4 linked regions of the Ovis aries genome follow. The protein of the gene in region 1 interacts with the protein of each later gene in a biochemical or structural test. Links are inferred from orthologs where the notes say so. Each region holds a gene or a part of one and is shown in the gene's direction. Other genes may lie near its edges.

The links. The genes of interacting proteins can lie anywhere in the genome.
Region 2: the proteins of SIN3A (region 1) and SMARCA4 form a complex in vitro, tested with the Homo sapiens proteins (2 studies listed by BioGRID). The link is inferred for Ovis aries from reciprocal best matches to the Homo sapiens genes SIN3A and SMARCA4.
Region 3: the proteins of SIN3A (region 1) and MECP2 form a complex in vitro, tested with the Homo sapiens proteins (2 studies listed by BioGRID). The link is inferred for Ovis aries from reciprocal best matches to the Homo sapiens genes SIN3A and MECP2.
Region 4: the proteins of SIN3A (region 1) and SMARCA2 form a complex in vitro, tested with the Homo sapiens proteins (2 studies listed by BioGRID). The link is inferred for Ovis aries from reciprocal best matches to the Homo sapiens genes SIN3A and SMARCA2.

Annotation. Positions count from the first base shown.
Region 1 is NC_056071.1:31,075,430-31,082,619, forward strand, and holds part of SIN3A (paired amphipathic helix protein Sin3a), read left to right. Parts: intron 1-1,495; coding exon 1,496-1,614; intron 1,615-2,199; coding exon 2,200-2,410; intron 2,411-2,731; coding exon 2,732-2,848; intron 2,849-5,749; coding exon 5,750-5,988; intron 5,989-7,190. UniProt on the Homo sapiens protein: Acts as a transcriptional repressor. Corepressor for REST. Interacts with MXI1 to repress MYC responsive genes and antagonize MYC oncogenic activities. Also interacts with MXD1-MAX heterodimers to repress transcription by tethering SIN3A to DNA.
Region 2 is NC_056058.1:13,252,985-13,260,799, forward strand, and holds the start of SMARCA4 (transcription activator BRG1), read left to right. Parts: upstream 1-3,854; 5' UTR 3,855-4,143; exon of another isoform or gene 4,144-4,215; intron 4,216-4,285; exon of another isoform or gene 4,286-4,340; intron 4,341-7,815. UniProt on the Homo sapiens protein: ATPase involved in transcriptional activation and repression of select genes by chromatin remodeling (alteration of DNA-nucleosome topology).
Region 3 is NC_056080.1:80,215,125-80,222,957, forward strand, and holds the start of MECP2 (methyl-CpG-binding protein 2), read left to right. Parts: upstream 1-3,872; 5' UTR 3,873-3,905; coding exon 3,906-3,967; intron 3,968-7,833. UniProt on the Homo sapiens protein: Chromosomal protein that binds to methylated DNA. It can bind specifically to a single methyl-CpG pair. It is not influenced by sequences flanking the methyl-CpGs.
Region 4 is NC_056055.1:70,271,613-70,279,464, forward strand, and holds the start of SMARCA2 (probable global transcription activator SNF2L2), read left to right. Parts: upstream 1-3,891; 5' UTR 3,892-4,015; exon of another isoform or gene 4,016-4,388; intron 4,389-5,734; exon of another isoform or gene 5,735-5,832; intron 5,833-6,016; exon of another isoform or gene 6,017-6,398; intron 6,399-7,852. UniProt on the Homo sapiens protein: ATPase involved in transcriptional activation and repression of select genes by chromatin remodeling (alteration of DNA-nucleosome topology).

The DNA of each region.
Region 1 (7,190 bases):
ATATAGTGAAGCACGTCAGTGCACCAGTTGTTGAGGACTTTAAATGGCTTGTAACCTTCTGATTGCTTGTGAAACTTATTTGTGGTATTGAATATTGGGTCATGGGAATTCTGATTTAACTGTATGTTGTCAGAGCTCCACAGGTGATTTTTTTTTAAGTTTTGGTTGCGCTGGGTCTTTGATGTCATGAGGGCTTTTCTTTGATTATGAGCAGGGGCTACTCTCTAGTTGTGATGCACAGGCTTCTCATTGCCGTGGCGTCTCTTATTTTGGAGCACTAGCCCCAGAATGCGTGGACTCAGCAGTTGTGGCCCAGAGGCTTAGTTTCTCTGAGGCGTGTGGGGTCTTCCCAGACTATGGATTGAACCATGTTTCCTGCACTGGCAGGCGGATTCTTTACCACTGAGCCAGCCACCAGGAAAGTCCTGCACCTCTGGGTTTTTGCAAAAGGGCAAATCACTTAGTATCTCCATGATTGGTGCCTCCTGAGTCCATGACTCTGATCTGAACCATTTCTGAGGGCTGCCTGGGCACTTGGTGCTTTTGAGGCAAATGTGAAAGTCCAGGTCACAGCCAACAGATGGCAAGGAAAGGGTGAGGGGAGGGGACTGAACAAGTTAATTTTAAAAATAGTGATGGTGTTTGTTGTTGTTTTCGAGGTACTTATTTCTTAGACATACTAAAAGAAAGTCCGGAGTTTGCTTGATAATTCAGGGAAATGATTAGTGTTTTGGGTTATTAAAATTCTCAGCACTGTGAAGAAAGGAGAAATGGAGAAAGGAAACAGATCAAGCCAGAGAACAAAAGTCGCTTATTTTAAAAGGTTATTAGTCAGGATTACCAGAGTTTGAAAAGAGTGTTGAAAAGATTCTGTAAACATCCGTTAGGCGAAGCAACCAAAGCTTGGGCAACACTCTTATGGTTCAGAGAATCAGGCTTGTGAGAAGTAAACGTCTTGTGTACTCCAGGACCTCTTTTTTCAGAACTTTTGTTACAGGCATTTTTAAGCATGTGAAATTAGAGAGAGTGGTGAGATGACAGCACGTGCACCCATCACCAGCCTCGGCGGGCCTCAGCTCCAGCTGCTGCGCCTGCTCCATGTGCACTCTCACCTACCCCGGGTTATTTGGAGACAAGTCTCGTATGATACAATATTGCACCCATGAGTACTAAGTTTTCTTTCTTTTTTTAATATTTGTTTGGCTGCATCTGGTCTTAGTTGTAGCACGTGGGATCTAGTTTGCTGATCAGGAATCGAACCTGGTCTTCCTTCATTTGGAGCACAGAGTCTTAGCCACTGGACCAACAAGGAAGTCCCTAAGTTTCCTTTTTAAATGACTCCTTTTTTCAAACATAAGCATTAACACATCTAAAAAAAACAAAATTGATTCTTAATATCATCAAATAACAGTTCAAGTTTCCCCAGTCTTTTAAAAGTGAGCCAGGATCTCTTGATTTCTCACTGAATTATTTTTCTTTCGGTTGTCTCCATAAGGTCCGAAAGGCTCTGCGGAGTGCAGAGGCCTATGAAAATTTCCTGCGCTGTCTTGTTATCTTTAACCAGGAGGTGATCTCTCGGGCGGAGCTTGTGCAGTTAGTCTCTCCATTCCTAGGGTAAGTGGAGTCAGGAGCTTGGCCCTGGTGTGTGATAAGGAAGTAAAATAAAACTTAGTTTGTGCAAGTAAATGATAGACAAAATTAATTTGATTGTGGTGGGTCAGTTGACTCATAAAATGTTAGTGCTAAGAGAGTCCTCTGTGAAGTCTTCTAGTTCAACTATGGAGATGAAAAGATTGGCAGAGGGCACATTGGCCAAGACTACTGGTCTCCTGATCCCCTGACCAATGTTGGATGTTTTATATAGACCAGTCTCTTCCAGGGTTCTAGAATCTTGACTTTGACAACCAAAGAATTATCTGAACTTTGAAACAATATTGTTGATTAGAAGAATGGCTGGTTATTGCCTTGTTTCAGTATAGTTCTTGCACCACCACCTTGACTGATCTTAGAGCACTCTGTAAGAAAAGGAGAAGCCAGGTATTCAAAAGCAGTACTTATTAGGCAAGAAGTAATAATTGTCACTGGAATTTGTCCAGTGATAGCAAAGTTCTGACTCTACATCAAATAGTGGTAGTCACACCTCAGCATTACTGCATAATACTTCTAATTGCTCACCAGTTTTTTGGTTTGATTCTTTAGGAAATTCCCAGAATTGTTTAATTGGTTTAAAAACTTTCTGGGCTATAAGGAGTCTGTACACCTGGAAACCTTTCCAAAGGAACGGGCCACAGAGGGCATTGCCATGGAGATAGATTATGCCTCTTGTAAACGGTTGGGCTCCAGCTATCGAGCTCTACCGAAGAGTTACCAGCAGCCCAAGTGTACGGGACGGACTCCTCTCTGTAAAGAGGTAAGGCCTTCCAGGGAAGGCATCAGCCCTGAGTCCTCAGCTTCCTCCAGAAGGAAGTGGTATGTGGGATGGAGAATTTATACGAATGAAGAAATCAAAATCCTTTCCTGTCTTTTTTCAAAAGAAAATGTTTTGTACTTATATTGAGAACTTTTTTCTATCTTTTTAAACTTGCTACACAGTTTCACTTGCTATGGGTGAAACTTGTAATGTTAACTGTTTCTTCCCTCCCCTAAAGTTTTGTCTTTTTTAATTGAGAAAGCTTAATCACCAGAAAATTTTGTTACACTTTTGTTTCAATCTCTCTTCTTTTACCCAAAGGTTTTAAATGATACCTGGGTTTCCTTCCCCTCCTGGTCTGAGGACTCCACCTTTGTTAGTTCCAAGAAAACTCAGTATGAAGAACATATCTATCGTTGTGAAGATGAACGTTTTGAGGTACAAGCTCCTTTATCATTTGAAGTTTGGGGAAATGAGAGATTCTGAAAGAGGATATCTTAAATACCTACCTGAGAGGACTGGCTTTTAAGACCAAAGAGCAAGAGGCTCATATTCTTCTGTGGTAAATGCTTCTTGTATTTACCATGTTTTGTGACTTTGTCAGGTATATTAGTAATATTTTCATAACAAATGTGACTTATCTAAAAGGCCACTTTAGCCCTTTTAACTGAAATTATCCGTTGATGGCTGAATAATACTCCTTTGAATTTTTAATGACATTTTAAAGGTTATTGTGTTGTACATAGTATTTAAAATCAGTAATTTAAGACCTAGTGGAAAACTTTCTGGAAGCTGTTTTAAATTGCTTATCTTAAAGTGTTTTTTATTTTTAGCAGGTATCTTACTAACATGGTTAGCAAACTAGCTCTCCTGTGAGAAATGAAACTCTTCTGTCATATTTCTGATGTTGATTTGTCTCCTTTTGAAAGGAAGTTGAGTTAGGGACTTCATTTTAAAGTAGTTGGGAAGGAAAGAGCTGGAGTGAAGAAATGAGCTGGTCCAGAGCCCTGATACCAGGAGTGGGAGTACTGGAAACAGACTCAGTTCCCAGTGTGTTTAAATGTCTGGCTCACCGATATCAACAAAAAGGGAATGTTAAATGTGTCTAGAGAGAGAAAATTACATGCCTCCTTTTTAATGTGTTTATTATATAAAACTGACTGTCCCTGCTCTTCCTATGGGTGGGAGATGTTTTGCTCCTTTTTTAACCCATACTGATTTAGCTCTGTGCCAGTTATTCCCCTTCACACTTGCTTCCCCTGTTTCTGGCGTGTTTTGAATGAAGAACCACATGTTGGTTGGTCCGCTGGGCCCGTGTTTATGAGGAACTTTGACCATTTGCAGAAAACTCAGTCATGACAGATATTAAGTTCTGTGTAAAGTTTTATCAAGCTGAAGAAAGCATTTCTTTCTTTTTTTTTTTTTAACCTATGTTTAGTCAGTTTCAGTGATGGGTTAGCAGAGATTGACGCCTGTTTTTGACAGGATATTCTTATTCTCAACTAGTATCCCTGCACAGGAGAGGCATCAGCCTCATTTCCTGCTTGTTATTGCAGTAGTGAAGATGAAAGAAATGTGTGTATGTATGCACATGTACATGCTGAGGATTGGATGGGATAGACTAATTTGAATCCTTTATGCATCAGGATTGGTTAATATTCCTGTAATATAGTCAACCCCTAAATCCCAGTGACTTGAAAACGACGGATTTATTTCCTTATCATACTGCATGTGCATTGATGTTCAGCTGAAGATTCCACTCATCAGAATTGCTTGGGGACCTGGGCTGTCAGAGTGGCACCATCATGAACAGTATCCATGACTGTAGGAGAAAAGCTCAGATGGATCTTGCACCCTTAAATGCGCTAGCCTAGAAGTAATAGATGTTACTTTGACTCACCTGTTAACAGCTCATAGGTCAGAGCTAGTTACACGGCCCTACAACCCACTCCAGTACTCTTGCCTGGAAAAATCCCATGGACGGAGGAGCCTGGTAGGCTGCAGTCCCTGGGGTCTCGAAGAGTTGGACACGACCAAGTTATTTCACTTTCACGCATTGGAGAAGGAAATGGCAGTTTTCTGAACTCCAGTGTTCTTGCCTGGAGAATCCCAGGGACGGGGGAGCCTGGTGGGCTGCCCTCTCTGGGGTCACACAGAGTCGGACACAACTGAAGTGACTTAGCAGCAGCAGCTAATCTCAAGGCAGCCAGGAAGTCCAAGCCATCGTTTATCCATAACTGGGGAAAGGGGGCATTAAAATTTTTGACAAAATGACTACCATAGTCCTCAAACTAGAAAATTAGGAAACACTTATACAGAGTCATGGACTCTTGAGACTGCTTATTTCCTTTATTTTCTGTTTCTCATCTGGAAAATTTTGTGTTAAGCTTTGGAAAAAAGTTAATTCAAGGTTGCTAGTCATGTCTTTAACCAGGTTAGGCTTGGCCCTTGCCAGAAAATAAAGTGTCAGAAATATTCAGTGAAAATTTAAATGGTTACTCACAAATACAACATTGAAGCCCTTAAGTAATGCTCTTATTGTTAGTAGATGTGCAAAAAGACATTAAACATTTAAACATCTCAAGTTACTCTGAAAAACTTTACTCATGAGATTGATTTAATATCTTGAATGATCTTTTTGGGATTTGGTGGTAGTGGTTGTTATTGTCTGTAACAGATCTGAGTAATTCACAAAAGTTCAGGGGAAAGTGTCAGTAAGGTTGCCTCCTCCTAGGTCCCTCTGGCATGGGGGCCGGTCATCCTCAATAAACCACATTGGTGGCGCTAGAAGTATCAACTACTGCTTTGTTGTTGTTCCGTTGCTAAGACGACCTTGTGACCCTGTGGTCTGGAGCACATCAGGCTTCCCTGTCCTTCACTCATCTCCCTGAATTTGCTCAGATTCATGTCCGTTGAGCTGGTGATGCCATCCAACCATCTCATTCTCTTGTCACCCCCTTTCTCCTCCTGCTCTCAATGTTTCCCAGCATCAGAGTCTTTTCCAGTGAGTCAGCTGTTCGCATTAAGTGGCCGAAATTTTAGAGCTTCAGCTTCATCATCAGTCCTTTCAGTGAATATTCAGGGTTTGGATGTTTGCTGTGTGCCTGGTATTGTGCTAAATCCTTTATGTGGGTTGTATTGTTAAATCCAGAACCCAACCTTGTGAGAGTAGGTGGTGGTATTCCTGTCTTACTGATAAGCTAACAGTTTTATATGGCTATGGTATGGCAGAGCCCAGATTCAAATCCAGGGAGTTTGACTTCTACCTTCTACTCCTGACAGCTATTCTGTTCTGATTTGGGTCCTGAGCACACTGTCTTTTTTTTTTTTTTTCAATAGCTTGATGTAGTTTTAGAGACCAATCTGGCAACTATCCGGGTTCTGGAAGCAATACAGAAGAAACTTTCCCGCTTGTCTGCCGAAGAACAAGCTAAATTTCGCTTGGACAACACCCTCGGGGGCACATCGGAAGTCATCCACCGAAAAGCACTCCAAAGGATATATGCTGACAAAGCAGCTGACATCATTGATGGTCTGAGGAAGAACCCTTCCATTGCTGTCCCAATTGTCCTTAAAAGGTACCTGAGTGCATACGCCCTTCATGCTTTAGTGCACTTCTCAACAGATTTAGTGTCCCATTAAATAAGATTCTCCTTTTCAGCCCAGTTTTTCCCTGAGACCTCCATTTCTCTCCAACCGCGGCTGTAGGAAGTCAGGTGGATAGTGTGGGATAGTGGAACTTCTTGATGGGGTTCTGTGTCACCAACAGCAGAGAACAAGCCTTTCCAGTCCATACTGGAATGCTCTGTGTGTTTAGGGGGATATTTTAAAATAGAGAACAAAGAAGAAAACAGCCACCCACCTTCCTGCCACTTAGTACTAACCGATGTTCACATCTTTTGTTTTTTAATAAGAAAAATCACTTTGTCTTTATGAAATTGATATGTTACTTAAAAAGCCTTAGCGTCCCATAAAAATTCAAGAATGTCTTCTTTCTTCTAACCAACCTTCGAACCAAGTATAGAGGGGCTGTTGAACCCACCTAAAATAAGGCTGTAGGTATCGAGGAGGCCAGGGCTGAGCCCCAGGCTCCTCGAAGTCCATGGCGCTCCTAAAAATCTGGTCCTGTATCACCACTGGAAAAACTTATCCACTGCACAGTCACACGTGCCCAGATTTTCTTGTTCCTCCCCAGTCTTCCTCTCAAGAGCTGGCAGAAGGTGTTTGCCTTCTTGCCAGTAGTGTTTAACTTTTGTCTTCGAGGTGGAGGATATCCTTCAGTTCTAGTGCTGGTTTTGATTTTTCTCTCCTCTCTTCCAGAGGCTCAGTCAGTTGTTTTTGCTGGAACTTCCAGGCTCTGTCTAGAGGAGCATCCATTGTTGCTCAAGTTCTCTGCTCTTGGACATTCGCATTTGCATTAGCATAATGACAATTCTCAGAAGTCCTGTAGCAGGGAAACTTGTTTCACTTTGTTTTAGCTGGCCAAAGAAGAGAGTCTACTTTTCTAGGGTATTCTGTGGAATGTTGGTTGAGAAATAACTGTTCTCTGCAAGATTTCTGACTTTGGGATAAATTACTTCCCCATAGTAAGTCCCGAATGAGTAGTTTTCTCGTGTATCAGAGTTCAAGACTAGCTTGAATAAATTTATTCCAGAGTTGCCAACAGATTTGACAGATCTGCTGTACCTGTTGACCTTTGAAATAAAGTAAACCTGACATATTTCTTACTTCTAAACCCTGTGGGATGAGGTGCTGTTATCCTCTTTTTACGGATAAGGAG
Region 2 (7,815 bases), on another chromosome or scaffold:
TTCTCTGTAACGGTTCATCTTGTGGATCTGTTTGGCTGGGTCATGGCACCCAGCCATTTGGTTAAACACCAGTTTCTATGTTGCTGTGGAGACTTTTATCAAAATGTGATTCATGTTTAAATCGGAGTCACGATGTTGAGTCAAACCGTGGACCTCCCATCATGTGGATGGGCCTCATCCAGTCATATATAAGGCAAAAACTGAGGATTCCCAGAGAGGAAGGTCTCAAGACTGTGGCACAGAAACCTTGCCGGAGTTTCCAGCCTACTGCCCTGTGGGACTCAAGCTCAACCCTGCAGCATCCTCTTTTCCCTGAATTCCTAGCCATTGGCCTGCCCTACAGATCAAACTTCAGACTTGTCAGATCCTACAAGCCCTGGATGCTGGGAAAGATTGAAAGTCAAATGAGAAGGGGGCAGCAGAGACTGAGATGGTTGGAAGGCATCATCGACTCAATGGACATGAGTTTGTGCAAACTCTGTTAGACAGTGAAGGACAGGGAAGCCTGCTGTGCTACATTCCATGGAGTCACAAGGAGTCAGACATGACTGAGCGACTGATCAACAACAGTCATGTGAGCCAGTTCCTTAAAATAAACATCTTTCTCATTTATCTATATAAATATATATTAGTATATATATGTGTATATATTCTCTTTCTCTCCATATGTATATATACTTCATTTCTCCAGTGCAACAGAATCAATAGGATGTATGTATGTATGTGTGTGTGTGTATATCTGGGATTTCCCAGGTGGCTCAAGTGGTAAAGAACTCACCTGCCAGTGCAGGAGATGCAGGTTTGATCCCTGGGTCAGAAGATCCCCTGGAGAAGGAAATGACAACCCACTCCAGTATTTTTGCCTGGAGAATCCCATGCACAGAGGAGCCTGGTGAGCTACAGTCCATGGGGTCGCAGAGTCAGACATGACTGAGTGACTGAGCATGTGTGAATGTATATGTATATCCAACATCCTATTGATTCTGTGTCTCTAGAGAACTCTGACACATCCTGTGAGCCACGTGGGAAGCTCCTAGCTAATAGAGCCACAGATACCAGAGGGTGTAGATGTGAATGCAGACTCTGAGACTGCTAAGACCAACTGGGAATTGTATTGTTGCCGTGTGGGGAGTGATGCTGCAAACATCTGGACTGCTACACTCCTCTTTGCATCCTTGCACAGCACAGCTTCCTCATGCCCCTATCTGGCCCTGTCCTGCCCACTGGGGAAGGTGGGAGGGGCAGCTATCATTGTAATAGGCAGCATACGGGAAGACTGACCGAGTCCTGGACACAGGAGATGAGGGTTGGAGCCTAAAGCTCTGACTTCACGCTAGGCATCTCCCTAGTGGCATTTGAGATGCCACGGGTGTGATACTGAGGTCTCAACAAGCATCCCATAAACTCTGATTTTGTGAGAGGCAGCGTGGGCCACCGGAGAGTGCTCCTTCAGCCTCTTTTCCATGCACCAGTCACTAGGCGCTGTGCTAGGTGCTGAAGACAGACACAAAGCTTATGTTCCAGCGTGCAGGGTGAGTGCAATGGAGAAAAGTCACCTGGGGATGTAGGATGTTGCATCTGTAACATTACAGAGATTCTCTGGGAGACACAGCTATGCAGGGGTCAGATGCACATGCGCAAAGGCCCTGGGGCAGGAATGTGCCAGGTGTGAAGAATATTAAGAATTGCCAACAAAGCCCTGCCCTCCCTGGCTACTGCAGACCTCCCCCCAGAGCCACAAGAGCTGTCCTCTGTTCCCACGCTCCTTTCCTTCTTCAGGGTCTCTGCACATCCTGTTTCCTCCGCTGAGTGCACTCCTCCTTTGGGTCTTGGCATATGGAGAGTTTGATCTGACTTCTCATTCCCAGGAAGACCCCATATTATGATCTCACCAACCCCGGGGCTTTTCTTCCAATGCACTTAGATTTTCCTGTCAAGTATTACTAGTGTGATTGGTGGGGGAGATCGTTAGCTGAACTCATGGACTGTTTGCTCCAAGGGCCAGAACCCTGCCTGCTCAGTGCATCACCGCACGACTAAGACCAGCTCAGCGCTTCTGGGTATTTTGGCTGGGTCAGGTCTTAGTTGCAGCATGCAAGATCTTTTGTTGCAGGGCACGGAATCTTTAGTTGTGGCTCTTGGGGTTGTTTGCTCTGCAGCATGTGGGATCTTATTTGCCCAACCAGGGATCAAACCTGCCTGCGTCCCCTGCATTGCAAGGCAGATTTTTTCTTTTTTTAAATTTATTTTTAATTGGAGGATAATTGCTTTACAATGTTGTATTATCTTTTGTGCAAGGCGGATTCTTAACCACTTGATCACCAGGGAAGTCTTCTGCTCAGCGTTTAAGATGTTGAAGGCACTTTAGAAATATTGCTTGAATGAATGAGACAGGCCGAAGTCTAGACCTCACTTGCCCATTTCCTGTCCATTACCCAACGTCACAAGCTAAGTCACCGAGAGCTTCTCCATGGCCTGTTTTCATGGATGCCTCATAACCAACCCTGTGGAGATGAGTGGTGTCACTGTTTTCACTTTACAGGTGAAGAAACAGAAGTGTAAACTTCTGTAAACTTGCCTGGCATCCCCCAGGTACTAAGGAGAGTCAGGTTTTCAACGCAGGTCTTTTTGGCTTCAGGCCAAGATATTAGCTGCTGCTTTATGCTCTAAGGGCCTCACCTTGGGCTTGGAAAGGCCCAAAGTGCTGGTGATACACACTCCATAGAAGCTAATATATTTTCAATTAAAAAAGAATATTTTTAAGGTGTCTAGTGTGTTGCAGAGGGTGGCCCCACACTAGATATTGGGTATTCTTCACTAGGGACTAAAATTGACAACACTGCGCCACTTAAATTGAGGTTAGGGAGACAGATACTAAAGGGGTTACCCAAGAAATGTGAAAGAAAAGGAGGTGGTGATCAAAGAGGGGGCAAGGCCAGGGGAGGTGATGAGTCAGCTGAGACCTGAAAAATGAGGGGGAAGGCCTGAGAGAAGCAGGGGTAGGGAGTCACAGGCTCCAGGACTTGGCCCTGGGAACCGTTTGTCCAGTTGTGGGGCTAGAAACAACGAATACAGACTCAAGAGATACTCTCAAAATTTAAGAGATGAAGCCTCCTAGTCTCTGGGCCTTCACACTTGGAACAAAGCTCTCTCTCTCTCACTGCTTTTATGTCTTGACTCAAATGTCTTCGCAGAGAGGCTTTCCCTAGCTGCCCCATTTAAAACTTCCCCGACCCTTCACGTGTCCATTTCAACACAGTGTATTTTACTTAAGTTTTCTTGCCTCGCGCCTGCCTCTCCCACTAAACCATGAGCGCCACAGAGGCTGAGATTTCTCTTCGGTACTACAGTACCTCAGTGTGGGGCAGGTCAATAGATTATCTGCTAAACTAATAGCCCTAGGTAAGTTGTGCGGAAAAGATAGCCACGGTCTTTGCGTAACAGGCTTTGCCGAACGGGCACCGCCATCATCCGAACATCGACCTGCACTTGGCCCAGGGGCCGGCTCTGCTCATCCCCGGCCCCAGCCTGTCCGCCTCCTGCCTTCATGCACGACCTTGGAAGCCTCACTTCTGAGTCTCAGGGGCCCTCGGCCACGCTTTCCCCGCAGACCTCTCCACCACCCACCCCATCCCCCAACCTCCCGCTGCCACCTCCACCTCCACCACCGCCGCAGTGCCGCCTGCTCTGCGCATGCTCGGCGGCTTTGAGACGCGCGGCGTGCGGGAACGGAGACCACCGCGCGCAGGCGCATGACCGTCCCACACAGAGTCGGGAGGCGCGTCGGGCGCTCTAGCTCTCTCTGGCCCCACCCACCTCTCCCAGACAACCCCGGCGAGACGCGCACGCGCCCTAGGAGCGGAAGGGCGGGCGGGCACGCGCACGAGGACGGGCCAGCAGCGGAAGCGAGTGGGAGTTCGTGGTGGGGGGAGGGGAGGTGGCGAGTGCGCGCGCAGCGGGGGCGCGGGCAGCGTGGGGGGGCGGCTGAGGCAGGCGGGCGCGCGCGCGAGGCTTACCCTCGCTCGGCGGCTGCGGCGGCTGCTTCTTTGTTTCGTGAGGAGAAGCGAGAAGCCCATTCTGCCCCCGGCCCCGCGTGGAGGGGCGGGGGCGGCGCCGGGAAGGCGACGGCGCCGGCGACTCCCGGTAAGGAACGTGGGTCGCGGGGGGAGCGCGGCGCGGGGCTTGGGAGGACGGTTTGAATGGAGCCGGGGCGCCGAGGGGGGAGGGGGCCGCCGGCGCCCGGAGCCGGGCCGGGGTACGGCGGCGCCCGAGGGTCAAGAAGCCTGACCGGCACCGCGCGCGCGGGGAAGGCCACAGGCAGCGAGGCCTCGGCGACTACAGTATCCGCGGGACGGCGGGGTGGGGGCCAGGGCCGCGTGGAGGCCGCGCGCCCCCCGCGCGCGCTCTCGCCGGGGTCGCTGGACAAAGCGCGTTGCCCCGTCGGCGGTCCAGGGGCCCACATCCCGGTGTCCGCCGGGGCTGCAACAATAGCCAGACGTCCGGGCTTTTCTGGTTACGTTCTAACGGGTCCGACTCGAATGTTGCCTTTTGGCGAGCCTGCAGTCGGAGCTCAGTAGGAAAAACCCCAGGTGTGTCCAGCGTCGCCCGGACACGAACATTAGCAGCCCCCCTGGGTTAGCCGACCTGAATGGTTATTTTTTTAAAAGTCACGTCGTTTTAGATTTTCAAGGAAAGGTAAATAACTCTGCTAACCCCTTGCAAGTAGTGACTTGAGAACGTTTGCCCTGAAGCCGGGGGTCGGCAGCAGTGGGGAAGGACGGAGAGAACTGTTTGCCGTTAAAAGCATTGTTTTAGTTTTGCGTCCTTACCCCTTTCTGCCAATCGATTTTCCAGATTAAGGTTTTTATTTAAAACGCGAATCTTTCAGGAGAAGGTATTTTGTGAAGGTCTTGAAGACACTAGTCTTGATATTTTCCCCCCCTAGTGAATCATTGGGGAAAGTAGGGAATAAGCAGTGAGAGCCACTTCCTAAGAATTTGAAACAAGTTTTCACTTTTAAATGACAGGCCTGATTCAAGTTTGACTCCTGGCTGTTGCTGGTCACTTCGCTGTGTGACAGGAGGCAAATAGCTTAATCTTTTGGAACTTCTCAGTGTCCTCATATGTGAAATGAGAATAATGGCACAGATGGAGCCGGTGAAAGCCTGTAAAATGGTTCCTGTCAAGAGGGAAGCACTATCGTTGTTGTTCAGTCCAGTCTCTTCCATTCTTGTTCAACACATACTTGTTGAGCCCCAGCTGGGTGTTTGGTAGTTGGAGGTTGGGTGCCCAGAGCAGCCTGTTCAGTCTTGTAGGGGAACAGGTGGTAAGTGTGGGAACAACTAGAGGCCTGTCATGTGTGAGGAGCACAGCAGATTGGTGCCAGTGGTGGGAACCAGAGATCAGGTAGCTGCATGGAAGAGGGGGCTTTTACTCAGGGTTAGGGAGGACCCCCAGGTTGTGTTGGACCACTTGGGACCAGTCATTGCTCCCCTCTGCTGCTTTTGCACATGGTCATCTTGATCCTTTCTTGTGTTAGGAGTTACTCCTGTTTGTAATTACACATCTCTTCTCCAAGGGCCATCAGAGCTGTCTGTGTAATCTCTTTTAGTGTACCCTGGCCCAGTGTGTAGTAGGCCCTTAGGGAACATTTGTGGATGAAGGAGGAGGGTACTCTTGAGGATTGAGTAGCCCTGTGTGTGAAGTGCTTGGCCCAGGACTTGAGGGCGAGTTGCAGACAATAAATATTAGTTGCTGGCGCTGTGTTTTGCTTTCTTTTTTAATTTTTTTCTAAAGCTTTCCAGGCCATTTTCCCCAAACCTCATTCCCTCAACAGTAAGGGTGTGGGGTAGTAGTTAATAGGAGGTGGTGTTATGGAGTGCTAGTTCTGGAATTAGACCTCCTGGATTCACAGTCAGCTCTAAATTCTAGTTTGACCTCAAGCAGGACACTTACCAGTAGGTCCCCCAACTTGAGAAACAGATAAGACAGTGGTGCCAGCTCAAAGAATTGTTGTGAGGGTTGGAAAGATAGTATGGGAAGTGGTTTAACACTCTCTAGAGTCTGGCATGTAATGAGCTCTCAATTTTTCGGAGGTGGTTTTGTTCATACGTATGTATTTGTAAATTAACTGTTCAGAAAACTGAAAACATGAGTCATTCTGTATCCCAGAAACCCCAGGTTTGATGTGCTGGTTATATACATTTTCCTAATTTTCTTTAAACTCAATACATATACGATTATGAAAATAATAAGTGTTCCTCCTCATGCCACTTGAAATCATTTGTGCCCAACCCTTCAGGGGGCTTCCCAGGTGGCGCAGTGGTAAAGAATCCCCCTGCCAATGCAAGAGACCTAGGAGACATGGATTCGGGACCTGGAGGAGGGCTTGGCAGCCCACTCCAGTGTTCTTGCTTGGAGAATCCCATTGACAGAGGAGCCTGGTGGGCTATAGTCCATGGGGTCACAGAGTCGGACGTGATTGAGCGCACACGCCAGCCCTTCAGGAGATGTTGATTTTGCAGGTGTTTTTTGGGGGGGTGTTCATCGTGGGGTGACCTCATCATAGCTTTGGTGCAGGGCAGTGCAGTGGTTCCAGACTTCCTGTCAGTGAAAAGCACTCCAACATAAACACGTATTTATTTTTTTAAAACACATAATTTATTTATACACCTTTGCCTCTCTTGTGGGTCCTCAAAACATTGGGAGGTAACCGTAGACCAGCTCTCCGTCCCCACTGTTTATCTGATGTGGGAGAGTGGGAGGGACTCTGTGTATTGGGTGAATATCCCTTGAGAACGTTCTGCCAGTGAAGAAACTGAGGTCCAGGCATATTTCACCAGGGCCTCTGGGGTTGAACATCCAAGTCTGACTCCTGGGTTGGCCAGTTTCCCTTTTGGTGCCTCCAAGACATGGGGTGAGTCCTCAGACATGGCGACTGGTTTTGGCCGGCTCATCAGGGCTGCCGTGGCTCGGAGGGCATTCAGATTGACCCTAGACAGAGCACAACGCCCATGGCGCCCCCTGGAGTTGTGCGGGAAGTGGCCCACCCCTGCATTCCCCGTTCACATAGGGAACAGGCATGCACCTGCTGTGAACCTGGTGCTGTTGGGGGCTGGGGGCTCAGCCAGGAACAGGCAGACAAGGACCCTGTCCTCATTCACTCGTGCCCATCTCCTTACTTGCGAAGAGGGCTGGTCCAGTAATAGTACCCAACTTCTACGATTGTTGCAAGGACCAAACAACAGCAAAATGATGGATGACCAATGTTAAGTGCTTAGGAAAGAGCCTGACACACACGAGTAGACAGTTTGTCACTGTTGTTATTTATTAGGATCCCAACAACATCCTAGCGGGTTAAGATACAGAATAGATTTTTGCCCCATTGCAGTAGTTCCATATGTTTTCGAAGTGGTAGGAAAGGAATTGGTGCCTCCATTCTGTCCTTAATAATTTAAAAATGCTGTGCTTTGCAGTTTCACCATACGGCACTGGAAAGAGGGAAGTGTGTTAGGTGGCTTGGATTTTGAAAAATGTAAAAGTTCGTTTTCCCTTTCACATATCTCCTCGTAACTGGATTGGAACACTGGAGAATCAGAGTTTTTTTTTTTTAAAAGAATGCACAAAACCTACTCTAAAAGGGAAGTAACAGCACTCGAATATTGGTGAGGGGAGAGGTCTGAGGGTGAATCTGTGAGAACTGAGTTGAGATCATGTGAACTCTTATCTTCCAGGTGTCATCCCTAAGAAGCAGGAAGCTCATGGGTGTGATCAGTGATATCTTCGTGTTTGCTCTTGTGTGCTTAGTCATCAGTT
Region 3 (7,833 bases), on another chromosome or scaffold:
TCCCAGGTGGTGCTGGGAATTAAGAAACCACCTGCCAATGTAGGAGACATGAGAGACATGGGTTCGATCCCTGGGTAGAGAGGCATGGCAACCTGCTCCAGTATTCTTGCCTGGAGAATCCCATGGAAAAAGGAGCCTGGTGGGCTACAGTCCATAGGTTTGCAAAAAGTTGGACACAACTGAAGCAACTTAGCAAGCACAGGGTTGTCATAGCCTTCTTTCCAAGAGCAAGCTTTTTTTATTTCATGGCTGCAGTCACCATCCACAGTGATTTAGGAGCCCAAGAAAATAAAATCTGTTACTGCTTCCACTTTTCCCCATCTATTTGCCATGAAGTGATGGGACTGGATGACAAGATGTTAGTTTTTGAATGTTGAGTTTTAAGCAACCCTTTTCACTTTCCTTTTTCACCCTCATCAAGAAGTTCTTTAGTTCCTCTTCACTTTCTGCCATTAGGGTGGTGTCATCTGCATATCTGAGGTTGTTGATCTTTTTCCCCGAAATCTTGATTACAGCTTGTGACTCATCCAGCATGGCATTTTCCATGATGTACTCTGCATATAAGTTAAATAAGCAGGGTGACAACATACAGCCTTGATGTACTCCTTTCCCAGTTTAGAACCAGTCCATTGTTACATGTCCAGTTCTAACTGTTGCTCCTTGACCTGCATACAGGTTTCTCAGGAGGCAGGTAAGATAGTCTGGTATCCCTGTCTCTTAAAGAATTTTCCACAGTTTGTTGTGATCCACACAGTCAAAGGCTTTGTCGTAATCAATGAAGCAGATGTTTTTCTGGAATTCTCTTGCTTTTCCATGATCCAATGGATGTTGGCAATTCGATCTCTGGTTCCTCTGCCTTTTCTAAATCTAGCTTGAACATCTCAAAGTTCTCAGTTCATGTACTGTTCAAGCCCAGCTTGAAGGATTTTGAGCACTACCTTGCTAGCATGTGAAATGAGTGCAATTTTGTGGTAGTTTGAACATTCTTTGGGATGGCCTTTCTTTGGGATTGGAATGAAAACTGACCTTTTCCAGTCCTGTGGCCACTGCTGAGTGTTCCAAATTTGAGTACAGCACTTTCACAGCATCATCTTTTACGATTTGAAATAGCTCAGCTGGAGTTCCATCACCTCCACTAGCTTTGTTTGTAGTAATGCTTCCTAAGGGCCACTTGACTTTACATTCCAGTATGTCTGACTCTAGGTGAGTGACCACACCATCGTGGTTATCTGAGTCATTCAGACCTTTTCTGTACAGTTCTGTGTATTCTTGCCACTTGTTCTTAATCTCTTCTGCTTCTGTTAAGTCCTTACCATTTCTGTTCTTTATTGTGCCCATCTTTGCATGAAATAGTCCTTTTGTATCTCCAATTTTCTTGAAGAAATTTCTAGTCTTTTTCGTTCTGTTGTTTTCCTTTATTTTGTTGCAGTATTCACTTAAGAAGGCTTTCTTATCTCTCCTTGCTGTTCTTTGGAACTCTGCATTCAGTTGGGTATATCTTTCCCTTTCTCCTTTGCTTTTTGCTTCTCTTCCTTTCTTAGCTGTCTGTAAGACCTCCTCAGACAACCATTTTGCCTTCTTGTATTTTTTTGGGGGGGATGATTTTGGTCACTGCCTCCATACAATGTTATAAACCTCCATCCATAGTTTTTCAGGCACTCTGTCTATCAGATCTAATCTCTTGAATCTATTTGTCACTTCCACTGTATAATCATAAGGGATTTAATTTAGATCATACCTGAATGGCCTATTGTTTTTCCCTACTTTTTTCAAGGTAAATCTGAATTTTGCAATAAGGAGCTCATGATCTGAGCCACGGTCAGCTCCAGGTCTTGTTTTTGCTGACTGTATCGAGCTTCTCCATCTTTGGCTGCAAAGAATATAATCAATCTGATTTCAGCGAAAGTAAAATCCAATGCTGTGAAGAATATTGCATAAGAACCTGGAGTGTTAGGTCCATTTATCAAAGTAAATTGGGTGTGGTCAAACAGGAGATGGCAAGTGTGAATATCAACATTTTAGGAATCAGTGAACTGAAATGGACCAGAATGGGTGAAGTTAATTCAGTTGACCATTATATCTACTACTGTGGGCAAGAATCCCTTAAAAGGAATGGAGCAGCCCTCACAGTCAACAAAAGAGTTAGAAATGCAATCTCAAAAACAACATAATGATCTCTGTTTGCTTCCAAGGCAAACCACTCAACATCACAGTAATCCAAGTCTGTTCCCCAACCACTAATGCTGAAGAAGCTGAAGTCAATTGGTTCTATGATCTACAAGACCTTCTAAAACTAATATCAGAGAAAGATGTCCTTTTCATCATAGGGGATTGGGATGCAAAAGTAGGTCAAGAGATACATGGAGTAACAGGCAATTTTCACCTTGGAGTACAAAATGAAGCAGGGCAAAGGCTAACTGAGTTTTGCCAGGAGAAGACACTGGTCATAGATAACCCTATGGGGGAACAAAATGAGAGCAAAAGCCGGTGGACATCTAAATAGCACCCCTTTCACTGTTGCTTTATCTACCTCAAATTCTTATCACTATGTGACATTTTATTTTATACTTTTTGTATGTTCACTCTGAATCTTCCCCTACAAGAATGTTAAGTACTTATTCAGTACTCTGCATCCAGAGCCTGGAACAGTGCCTGGTACATAACAGGGATTTAATAAATGAATGGGGGTGGGGTAGGGAATCACATCAGAATCAGACGGTTCCTTCTTAACTGAAGAAGTAGCAAAAAGAGCATTGGATGGATTGGATGATAGCTGGAATCAGAGTAAAGTCGCCTTGACAGACAGTACTATCCTGAACACTCCATTAGCTAAAGTGAAGTGAAATGAGTCACTCAGTCGTGTCTGACTCTTTGAGACCCCATCTAGGCCAGAATACTTGGAGTGGGGTAGCCTTTCCCTTCTCCAGGGGATCTTTTCAACCCCAGGATGCAACCCAGGTCTCCCGCCTTGCAGGTGGATATTAACCAGCTGAGCCACAAGGGAAGCCCTCACTAGCTAAAACTTTTTCCATACTCTTAAATATTTTTCTATACCAGCATTATTGGATCTTAAGTCCCAAATCACCTCTTCCGGGCCGAGCGCTTATTTCTTTGTGTTTCCACTGCCCCCTCTTCCCACTCACCCCAAACCATCTCATCCAACCATGACAGGTTTCGTGCAAGCCTTGGCATGCACCCTCTTGCCCCACCAGAGCTGCAAGAAGGTGAAGGCTACAATTCGTTGTTCAGTTATTTCCCTGCCCCTCTGAGAGTGTGGCATACGGTAGGCTCAAATGAAAGAATGCCTTCGGTAGGCCTCGTAAACCCAAGGTTCTTGTCTGGAACAATGTCAGGCAACTTTGCTGCTTCTACTGAATGTGGTGATACTGAGAAAATGCGGGTGTTGCGGGAGGCTTATAGCAATGTACTTTGTGTGTTTGCGGACAGCAGGTCAAGGGCCCGGGATGGTCGCGCAAACAGGCGTCCGGAACCTAGGCCTTCCCTTGCCCCAGCATCCGCAAAGGCCTATTAATCCTTAATATTCAAATTCCGCCCACTAAACCATCCCCTCGGCGCCCAAGCCGCCTCTTTTCCCCAAATGACGGCCGTTGGCAGCCAATCGGCAGCTAGACGGGGCGTCCGCCCCCTTTTCCCTCGCCGGAACGGACACCGAGTCCCGCCAATTGGGGGCGTCGCCACCGAGGCCCCGCCCCACCCCGGCCAACACATCCAATGGCGCGCCAGCTCGCTGAAGCATCGGGGGCGGGGCGCAGGCGCGCAGGTGCAGCTGTGCGCAAGCCGGTCGGGAGGGCGGGGCGCGACGTCGGCCGTGCGGGGTCTCGGCGTCGGCGGCGCGCGCGCTCCCTCCTCTCAGAGAGAGGGCTGTGGTAAAAGCCGTCCGGAAAATGGCCGCCGCCGCCGCTGCCGCGCCGAGCGGAGGAGGAGGAGGAGGCGAGGAGGAGAGACTGTGAGTGGGACCGCCGCGGCCGCGGGCGGGGACCCTTGCTGGGGGGCGGGGGGTAGGGGCGGGACGTGGCGCGGGAGGGGCCCGCGGGGTCGGGCGACACGGCTGGCGGATGGCGTCCCTCCTCTCTACCCTCCCCCTCCCGCTGGTGACGGCACCCCCCCCCCCGCGGCGGCCCGTTACCCGCACTTGCGGGTGACCGTCTTCGGCGCGGCCTCCTCAGGCTGCCTTTGCCTGCTTCCCCCCACCCTCCCGCCTTCGGCGCGCATCCCGGCCCCCCGGCCCCGCGGGCACCCCTGTCGCCGGGGCTTCGCCTGTCGGGGCTGCGCGCGCGTCGTGCCCTTCGCGGGGCTTCGGGCCCGCGGCGCCGTCGCGCGCCCGCGCCCCCGGCCTCTCCCTGGCTCGCGCTTTCCCGTCTCCCTCCCTCGCGCGCCCCTCTCCCGTTACTCGGCCCCCCCCACTGGCGCGCGTGCGCAGTTCTCCTCCCGTCGGGAGAGTGCGCCACAAGGGCTCCTGGGCAGTCGCCCCCATCTCCAGGCTTTGCCTCCCCCTCCTTCTCGCCCATTCCATGACTTTCTGCCCCCCCACCGTCCCCGCCGCGAGCGAGTTCCTTTCGCATCTAGCAAGAACAAGTAGGTGGGAATTATTGTCCACCCACAAAAGGCACTAGACATTGTGTTCTTGGCCCCAGAGCTCATCAGAAAGAGGCGGTGATAGTTGCCATCAGGAGCCGTGGGGAGGGGACGGGGTGTCCGGCAGCACCCGTAGCGCTTCGATGGGAGCACGCTCCCAGGGCGTTTGCGGGGGGGGGGGGCATGGCCTCAGAATACGAGCGCCCTCCCATCCTTCCCCCCCGCCCGCCCCGCTTCGCCGGCGATCTTCCAGTTACATAAGTGGAGTGGGACTCAGTCTGTGACGGGCTTCCATAGTCCCGGAGCGCGCCCGGCTCAAGATCACCAGTACCAGATGGGGCAAGTTCACCGCATCGCCGGGGTGCCCATCGCTTGGTCCCTGAAAGTTTATTTTCTTTCTAGTTTGCTTCTGAGTCACCCATACTGAAACTCAGGTGACTGATTAGTGGTGTGGCAATGTTTTTTGTGGTTTTGCACTGAAGACTTAAGGTCATGGTGAAGAGTTTAAAAGATTGCTTTCACAGAGGAGACCGTTCATGGCCTTGCTAAGTGTGGATTCCAAGGGCGGGGAAGGCTGGCTGTGGAATACACCTCTGTGGCCGTCGCTTCTACTGTGAGTGTGTTCGGTGTGGATTGGTCACAGCCGAAATGGGCTCCACCACAAAATTGATATTCCTGACTCATGGTCAGGCAGATGTGTGCTTCTCGTTTTTCAGGAACAGGAACGGGCTGCAAAGCCATTCAGAGTTGTGTCTCTGTTGTGCCGATCAGTGCCCCAAATTGTGAGATGGTAGCATAGAATTCTGTGGGTGGTTGGTGATCACAGAACCGAACCTACTGGCCTGTGAGGCTGAGTGGCTTAAGACTTGAGGACTCTGGCAAATTTTAGGCATTTTGTTACATTACAAAAATGAAGCATATATCGGCCTTGGTAGCAAAAATCATTATTAACAGGCAGTTGCTATCCAGGAGAAATTTGGGTTCCACCGTCAGAATTTTCATCTGCATCTGAACGATTTCAACTAAGAATGCCATTAACCTCTTGGGTCCTTTGAAATATGCTGAATCTTTATGTTTTTTTAAAATCTGGTTTTTAGTTTTAGGTCTTTTGGGAATTTCCACTAGGGATTTAGGGAAATAGATTTATTTATGGGCTTTGAAGGACTTCTAAATCCTAGTCCTGGAACCTAGGAAAAAATTTGCTTTCATTTTTTACCCGGACGTATCAGAACCTTAAAGGGCACAATCAGTCACAGAGGTGTAGAGTTGATTGAATAAGTTGCCACAGAACACCCATTCGTGGCATGTCAGCGAGGGGGCTGATCACTGAGGTGCATTCCTGTCTGCACACACAGATACACAAGCCTCACTTAACGAAGATTCCAAGGTTTGTACATCTGAGCCTCAGATGTGACCGGCAAGGGCTCTGTTTCGTTTCCCATCATTGTCAGTGCGTTAGCCGCCTCGGGTGCCCTTCCAGTGAGCTGTTCCATCATACCCCTATCCCACAGCCTCCAGAATATAGTTTGTCTGCAAAGTACCTGGTGGCATCTGAAGTCATGGTGTCCTAACAGCTTGAGGAAACTCTCTATGGCTTTCTTGCCAGTACACACCATACTCATTTGCCTGGAATACAAATTTGCCTGGAATGCTTGCAACCTAGAATCCCAGGTCTTTGTTTCACCTGACAGAGCATGATGCAGTCCAACCATACTCCAACTTTTGTGCTGCTTATGTTGCAAGAGGGTTCGAGTACTGTTTTGCATTTTATTTGCGATTTCCAGCCACAGCCCTTGTTTGCTGGCTGGCCCTGCCTCTTTGTGGCTGAATCTAGTGGGATGGGGAGGCACGCTGTGAAATTTGACAGAAGAATTGGCTAGAGGAGTCCAATATGATGATATCTTCCTCCTGAATACCCCTTCCCCCAAGTGGAGACGGAATGAGAACCTTGCTTCTTGAACCTAGAATAAAGAAGAGCCGATGGAAAAGTGTTAGTTCCTTCCTGGAGGGCGGTTTCCACTGTTAATATACCTGCCCGGGATTATTTACATGATAAATGATGTCTCCTGGAACCCGTGATCTTTTGTAAAGGTGAATATCAGTGAAAATCTTTTAACTGGCTAAGAGCAGTTTGTGGCCAGCTTGCCCGAGTTATCTATGAGAAGAATATTATAGAAAGGATTTGACTTTTGCAGTAACTAGTGTTTCAAGCACAGAGGGGGTAAAACATAGTCCTAGACTGGTGGTTCCAGGGAGCGTGGCAGACACCTGTTTGTTTTCCCCACCCTTTGTTGGTGATGCGCACGCAGACCAGCCTTGTGTGGCTGGCAGACAACCATTTTTTCTTGGGTAGAGCATTATTACTGCTCCAGTTGGAGGACCTTGTTCTCAGTGCTTCTGTACCAGTGCCTTCCAGTGAAACTGTCATTGTCACCACTGTGCCTTTACCTCAGTTTGGGTAGGATGGATGTAAAGTCTCTTTTCCTTGGACTCACTGACACAAAAGTTGTGCTCTTCTGCATTTACCTGGTCTCTTCTGCCTTTCTTTGGCATGGAGCCCCTTCCTGTTGAAAGCTTGCTTTGTACACCTTTGCTTAAAATATTTGGTTCTACCTCTTTGATGGTAGGTATGGTGTCGGGGGGGGGGGGAACAGAGTGAGAGCAGGGCATGGCCACTCCCATATTTAAGAGGCGTTGTGACCATTCTGTTAGAGTAAAGCCTTGGCCTTTTTCACTTCTTCAAGGCACAGTTAACGTTGGTTCTGCTGGTGTGTGAATGTCTTGAGCATAGCTGTTTTGTTATACTGCAGAAGTCTGGACTCTCGGGATCAAGCCTTAGAAAGGCTTCGGTGCGTAAGAGCTGGGGGCACTCTATATACATATATATAGACCTGCAATTCACTGCTGTATTGGGTCTTCACCTAAGTGCTCTCATTTGCTGGCTCTTTTTTTTTCTCCACGAAATCTTGAGTTATCAGAGATCTTAAATTCAGAGCTCGAAGGAACCTTAGTTTAGGTCCCTCAGTTTACAAATAAAAATGCAATTTACCAAGGGAAAAAAAAAGGCAACTGTGAAAAGTTGTGGCTCTTCTAGGGCCTCCCGGCCAGGATGCCGGTTTGATTTTTATTATATAGCTAATTGAGTAATAGCTCAGCTGGTAAAGAATCCACCTGCAGTGCGGGAGACCCTGGTTCGATCCCTCGGTCAGGAAGATCCCCTGGAGAAGGGATAGGCTA
Region 4 (7,852 bases), on another chromosome or scaffold:
TTTCAGCTTGGAAAAATAACATATTCTGAATACTTAATAATCTTGTTCAATAACTAAGACCTGCTAAATTCTCTATGTCAGATGATTTTAATATATATATCTCTCATCCTTTCATTCAACAGAAAATGTTTAAACAACCTACCATGTCCTAGGCATTCGGCTAATTGTAGCAGTTTCAAAGATGAATGGAACTTGCTCTACACCCTCCAGGCACTAACCATCTACTGGAGGATACCAAACAAATAATTGCATCAAAGTGATAAGTGCTATCATGGTACAGACCGGTTGCTATGGGAGCAGAGGAGGACAAGCAGTTTCCTTTGCCTGGGGAGGGCAGAGAGGGCAAGGAGGGCCCTTGGAAGGTATCTGGGCTGTAGCTGAGCTTTGGAGGATGTGCTTGGGGAACCTGCATTTCATTGAGTGTGAACTAATATATCCAGTCTGGCCCCTTAGTTGCCAGGAGGTCAACTAGGCTTTCTGAGCTCACATGTTTTCAGGAGATCAAGAAGGCTAGTAGAGATCTGTCCTTGCACAGCTGTGGCTGACGTGCTAAGAGGTCTGAAATTCATCACAGAATGGATTGGGAATAGACAGAGGCTTTTGAACTAGAGGATGGTATGATCACAAAGAGAAGTGGGGTGGTATTTTGGAGGACTAGCTGTGGAGAATCTAAATTTATTGACTGTTGATTAGAAAAAAGGAGAGAAGTGTTTATTTCTGTAATAAATCCACTTGCTAATTCTGAACTCTTCACTAAATTAAATGTCGCCTGATTCACTTTGTCAAAGTTTAGTTTCCATTACTGTAGATGAAGTCCTCGTTCCCTAAATGGTCTTACTTGCTCCTGTTTGAAGCTAGACCACATTTCAGCCAGCATGAATAGTTTGCTGGATGAAACTTGAAGCTTCCTGACTTTGTGCATATATATATATATATAGAGAGAGAGAGAGGGTGCTGTAGGTAGATGTCAATTTTCAAACCCAGTGTCTACTCTATGCAGGATGTCAACCATGGCCGACTTACATAACAAGTGAATGTAGCCATACAGACATGAAAAAAATGACATCTCTTCCTTGATGTCAAACTAGAAAGAGAAAAGCAAGTTCAGAGAAGACATTATGACTCATCAAAGTCCAAAAGGAAAAGCTTTGTGTGAACCTAGCATCCTGTGCAGCCTCCCGGAGTCCTTCTAGCCGCCAACCCTATTTGCTTTTGTGTGATTTTCTGCAAAACAAAACAATCCCATCATTTTCCTCCTTAATATCAGTTGTTAAATTTTACCTTCCTTTGGAGATGAAATTCACGCTATATGTTCTACAATCTTCTTTTCATGCTGACTGAAAGGTGCTGCCTTTTCATTTCTCCTGAGTGTAGGCCTTATTTTATAAAATTCCTACTTGCTGCAGTGCAAGCTACAAACAAGACAATTCTTCAGAGTAAAGACTTGAAGGGTGAAGGTGGTGCTTTCTTAGACCAATGTGAAGGGAAAGGGAGATGCAATATCTATATTTAATCTCTGCTCCCAGTGACAGATTTTATTTTTCCATCCCCATCATTGTGCATGTAATGCACAGATACCAATCCCGCCAAGTACTGCATCAAAATTTTACATGAACTGAAGAATATACACATGTAACAAAAGGAGTATTGTTTTAGTCTTTACTTTCCATCTGACAAAACACCAGAAGGAATGACCAGTCTCTTCCGCTAGTATCTCACTAAAATGATTGTTCTCTCTTTCAAATTTGGGATAGCAGGTGAAAATGAATTCTTAAAAGGGATAAAGGGCACTTACTCACAAGGGAATTCAGATGAAGTCATCAATTTCTAAAAATTGGCATATAAGGTTGGCATGCCAGGGAAATGGGTCACCGCCCCCCTTCCAGCCCAAATTAAAACCTTATATTACCTAATGTATTAAGCATCACCATTGGGTTAAAGCCCTTTTATAGACAACTAGGTTATCTGGCTATATTATTAGCTGAAATTTATTAGGCAATTGAAAGTTCTGCTTTTACTACATTGCTAGTTTTGTTTAAGATTTCTCACCTAGTTAATAGTTATACTGGCATAACCTCAGGCAGAAAAACAAGTTCTTACAATAGATTCTTCAGGGCATAATATATTCTACTTCTTTTATATGTGTTATCTTTTGTTGTCTTGAGTTTCACTTTGGGATAGATAGAAAATTATGAAGCTCAGGTTAACAAGCAAGTAGCAAAGCCTTAGAAAACTACAAGGTAGGTGATCCTTGACACTCCCAGCCACCTGAAAACGGTGCCCTTGAGGATTCTTCCTCCACCAGCAATGGGCCAACAACATAAACAATTCTTGCCATTTAATGACCCCGTGCAGCATGCTGCAGCAGTGTTTGTTCCACAGCTTCATGCCTTCAACTTATCCACTGCACAATTTTAAGCGCCCTAGAACTGTATTTCAGACCCAGTTGCCCAAATAGAGCCAATTTCGCAACAGTAAAATGGTGTTAAAATAGGATTTTACTCTAGGGGGGAGAAATCTTGAACCAAATAGTCACAGTGCACTTTGCATGAGTAATTTAAACTGTTACATTACAAAATAAGGGCTATGTCATACTTTTAATAACACTACCATATAGGAACAGTTTTAATGTTGAGTCAAGCACCTACATTCATCTAAGTCTAAAATAATAGGCCCCTGATTTAAAATCTCCTAACATTCTTTCACACTTCATAAAATAAAATAAAATTCTCTCAGCAAACGCTGACCTATTCATCCAGCCAAAGTACTGTATTTCAAGGAAAATAGGAAGGAGAGGTCTCAAACCCACCGAGCGCCAGCAGTTTGCTGTCTGCAACCGTAACTGGTCTTAAATGTGGGCTGGGGGTGAAGAGACGTCAGACGGGAGAGAATAAGAGATTTATTACCTATCTTAAATCAAAAGCAGATTCCATGCTTTAACTACCCCCTATCGCCCGCCCGCCCCCAAGAGGTTGTTTTCCTTTGTTTTTTGGTATATATCTCACGGGAAGATGATAGGTGAGGGAAGGTCAAAGTGCTGTGTCTGGTCCACAGAGTCAACACAGGGGTTAGGGCGGGTTTGTTTATTTATAAAGCGTTCAGCCTCTCAGCTGTTTTTCCCTCATTGGCATTTGGAAGCTTGCAGTCCTTTAGAAAAGAGACAGATTTGGCAGGAATGTTCTTTGTGCCCTCCTTCCTTTTTACGGGGGAGAAAAGGAACAGATTGATAATTACAGCCTTGGGTGGGGGGCGGGGTGGGGGAGAAAAAGTTTCCGGCAGCACGTCGATGCCTGTTTTTTTTTTTTTTTTCATGGTCAACACTGTGCTACAAACAGCTTGGGTGCCACTTGGAGCCTTCCCCCCTTCCCCTCCCTTTACCTCCGCAGGCTCGCTCTGGCAGGCAGAGGCACAGTTAAATTCCAGCACCTTCTTCCCATACCCCTAAACTACTACACGCTATTACTACGGCTGCCCTCCCTTTCACTTAGCCTCCTCCGCTTCCCAGCCTCCCACGAGGAGGCCGGCAGGGGCCCCGGAAGACTGCCGGGGAAGGATAACGGGCGTCCAACTCCCTCCATCAGGGCTTGGGGCTTTCCGCGTCCTGCGCAGTTTTTCTGCTCCAGGCACAAACACGGCCAGGGAGCCGGCGCCTTGCAGACACACACAGATCCACGCATACTGTAGAGCTGTCTCGATCCACATTCTTGCATACCGCCCCCTCCTCCCTCCCAGAGCTCCGGGAGTCGCCGAGCGGGGCGAGTGACAGGCGCTTCCCGCCAACCCGCGCCCGGGCGGGCAGGGAGGAGCGGCGCTCTGGACCAACTGCGGCGCGTCTTCCGGCGCCCGCGGAGGCGGTGAGGGTGGGACGCGGGGCGGAGCCGGAGTTTAGGAAGAGGAGGGGATGGCTGTCATCAATGAAGTCATATTCATAATCTAGTCCTCTCTCCCTCTGTTTCTGTACTCTGGGTGACTCAGAGAGGGAAGAGATTCAGCCAGCACACTCCTCGCGAGCAAGGTAAATATAACTTACAACTCCTTTTTCCTCTTTCCCCTCCCTCCGGCCTCCGGGCTGCAGCCGCTGCACAAACCCCTCCGGCACCGCGCCGCCTTCGCCGGGGATTATTCATTATTAACCTAATTATTATTTATTGTGCATGCACGGAGACCAAAACAAACAGGCGGGCCAACCGCCGCAGCAACAACAAAAAAAGCCCGCCTCCTACCCCGCGGGCCTCAGGTGGAATGCTCTTAACGACAGCTCCCGGGCAGCAGTGGAAGAAACGCGAAAGTTTCAACCGAAGCTTGCTGTTCTAATAATAATAGTAATAATTACTACTTCAAGGATGCAAGGGGAGGAAAATCCCAACAAACCACAGCCTTGACCTTAGGTAGGCAATCAGCGATGCGCTGCCAACGGAAGGTTGCAACACACACACACACTCGGCAAGGTTGCAATCCCCTCATTCCCTTAAAAACTGGGGTTGGGGGGAGGAGGTGGCAGGAGGATCGGGAAGAGTATGGAAACGCTAAGGTTCTACTAGAGCAGTCCTCCCGGGAAGAGTTGGAAGGGGAGCGGGAGGAGAGGGCGAGGAGCCCGGGCTGACGGCTGGGCGCCAACGAACGCGGCTGCCACCAGCTTCCCTGGGACTTGTTTAAAGGGCTCCGGCTGCGGAGACAGGAGCTGGTCGCGATGGGAGAAGCCGGAGCTGGCTCGCCGAGGCAGTGGCAGCCACCGCCGCGGGGCCGCTGCGTGCGGGATCGGAGGTGTCACCTCCACTTTGCGAGCAGGGATGGGTACGCTGACCGGTAGGCAGGCCTTTAGGCAAAGGGGCTGCCGGGGGTCTGCACCCGGGGCACTGCGGACGACCCTGCCCCTGGTACCTGGTGGCCGCGCGGGCTCGGGTGTTGAAGTTCGGGGTGTCCAGCCGCGACCACACTGCTGGGAGGGAGGAAAGGAGGGAGGAGGTCCTGAAGAAGGAGGTCGGAGGTGCTCATTGGGCTGTTATCCTGCCCTCCGCCTTCTCGGGTTTGTTTTCTTTTGGTCTGCATCTTCCCCTAGCTTGGGCTGCCGGAACCTCGGGCGTGGGTCGCCGGCGATCATCCGGATGCTAGGGGAGCACCCGGGCCCAGGAGAGCCACGGTGGCTGCGGGCCGGGGAGGCCATGATCCGGATAATCCTCTCTGCCTGACTGTCACAAACAGGACCCGCGCGCACCCTGTGCAGTGGTGTTCGCTGTAGAAGGGAAGGGCTGGCGCGGGGTAGGGGGTGGGGGGGGGGGGGGGAGGCTGGTGAGGGCAGAAGGCGGGGAGACCGGGAGGGAGCCTGCCCCCAGAGATGACACGCACCGCTTCCTTCTTGTTCCCTGCTTTCGAGTTTGCTTTATTCCCATCCCAACCTGGTTTACTCCCTCCTCTGCTTCCCCCTCCATCTCGCCGTGTTCCCTCCTCCCGGTTGCGTTGCAAAACACGGCCATGCCATCTGCAAAGGTGTCGCGATGCACTTCCCCAAATAACCAGTCCGGCGCGCCAGCCCCTAGTCACCCTCTGTCTGCGGGCGCACACCAAGTGGGGCGCCCTGGGTCCCCTGCACCAGGCCTCGCAGCCTGGGCGCAGTTGCACCGCGCGGGGCGGGGCGCAGCAGTAAGGGCTCCAGGGGGACAACCGCTCCTGGGTCCCGACACTCGGACCGGTTTCCGGCACACGCGGGGAAATTGCCTCCCGCCAGTGTCTGCGCACTCGCCCCCGCCTCCACCGCCTGGATTGCATTATTATTTTTATCCTGGTTGCAGTTTGCAGCCGATCCTGGTGAGCCCGGGGCTGGCCGGACTGCTGGTAGGGGGGGTGGTGGGGGTGGCGGGTGGAGGGAAGTTGGACGTGGATCAGGCAGGAAAAAAAAAAGTTTGGCAGGGAGACTAAGGAAGGAGGGAGGGTGGGAGGGGGCGGCGAGCTCCCGCAGCTCGCGTCTCGGCGCCCTCGGGGCCGGCGCGAGTGTGTCTGCGCGTGAGTGTGAGTGTGTGTTGTGCGCTGGGGCCGGTGCGTCGCGAGCAGCGGCGCGGGCAGCTGCTCCTGCTCGTGCCCTGCCCGGGAGCCGCGGGAGGACAAGGCGAGGTTTGGTGGTGGAGGAGTGGTGGGGGTGGCGTGTGCGTGTGGCTGTGAGTGTGCGCGCGCGAGCAGCGGAGAATCAGGAAGTCACAGCAGCGAAGCGCACACAGACATGTTTGATCGCCGTGACATGACGCGCGCGAGGGAGGAAGCGGCAGCGGCTGCGGGGGCCGGGCCGCGGGCTCCAGCGCCGGCCTAGGGCTTGGGCGGGGAGACCCGCTCCCGCCGCTGGCAGGGCCGCCACAGCAGGCTAGGCTAGGCTAGCCCCGCGCCTCTTTTTGTTCCGTGTCCCCCAGGTAAGGAGCCTGAGCCTCCGCCGCCTGCCGGGTGCGGAGCTTTCCAGTTCTTTCCCTCCCGGCCCCCTCCGGTCTCCGGGTCAGGCTTTCTTGCAAAGTCAGGAGGGCGGGAGAAGCCGGCTCCCGGCCCTCCGATCGATCGCGTGGAAAACTTTCCAGCGGGAGGCACCGCGAGGGGAAGAAGGCCTTGCTGGCTGCTGTCCCTTGTCAGTTCTTTCTCCTCCGGGTCCGGAGAGTGGAGTCGCTCTGCCCCGGGGCTGTTGCACATTCAAACTTCAGGCCTTAAACGTGCCTCCAGCTTTTGCCGGATTTACTCCAGAAATTAAATATTCGAAGTCGTCTGCTTGGTCCTGCCAGGCGTTTGGGTTTTTGAAGAGCAGAAGGCAGGCATGGGAGTCGAGGGGGATGGGGGTGTTGTGCAGAATCCATTCCTTCCTTAATGTCTGCAGCGGGTGTTATGTAATTTTAGTAGCACACGGGTGCAAAGCCCATACTGGGCTTCTCCCCTCCTTTGTTTATATAACTTTTGGGAGAGTTTTGCAAGGTCCCCCTCTCCCCTTCCTTTTCTTCTTTCCGTTCTCAACCTAATGGAGCTTGGTGCATTTGAAAAAGTAAAGCGACCTGGGTCAGTATATTATTGAGAGGTGCTATCCTTAATCTCCTGGTTATTATGCAGACTGTGTTCCTAACTGTGTGTGATGTTAGGGCATAAGGAAGACATCTGTATCATCAGTAGCAGAGTTAAAATTTCAACTTCCATTTCAAAGGACTTTTTAATTTACACCTGGATGTGCTGTGCTTGTTGGAAGAGAATGCTTGTAGGCACAGAAAGATTGTTGTTTTCATTACTGAATGGAAGAAAATTTCTATCTAAGCGTGTTAAGTAAGACTCAGAAACCTCTGAGAACTGTACTGAAACAAAAGCCATGCCCAGTGTTAGTTGTGTGTATATACTTAACACTTGCACATTCAAATGTTTCAGTATTATCTTATTTGCAGGACCACTGCCCCAGGCTTGTTTGCCTATAATAGCTATGCTAGGCTTCTAGCTTACCTCTAGCTTCCTGGTGAATTGTTAAGAGGTGTGGCAGAGGTTTGAATCCAAGTTGGTGAATTGTTATGCAGATAAAACACCTTTTTCTCTTTTAGGAATCTAATTGTCCTTTTATTCTCCTAGACAATTTTTTTTTTTTTTAAAGCTTCCTAACAACTTGAGTGTTTGTTGGTGGGAAGAGATTTGGAGATACCATTAGGTATCAAAGATATTTATGGATGTGACTTGAAGTAGAAAAGCAAACCTGTACACAGCCACTCCTCTACCTTGTCGGGGGCATTAAAGAGAAAAGTCAGGTGAAGAATATTGTAAAATAAATCAGAGGAGTTTGGGGTATCTGAACCCTTAAAAAATTGGCAGAGGTGAGAGGGTGCCTCCTTCCATGAAGCTTTTTTCTCCT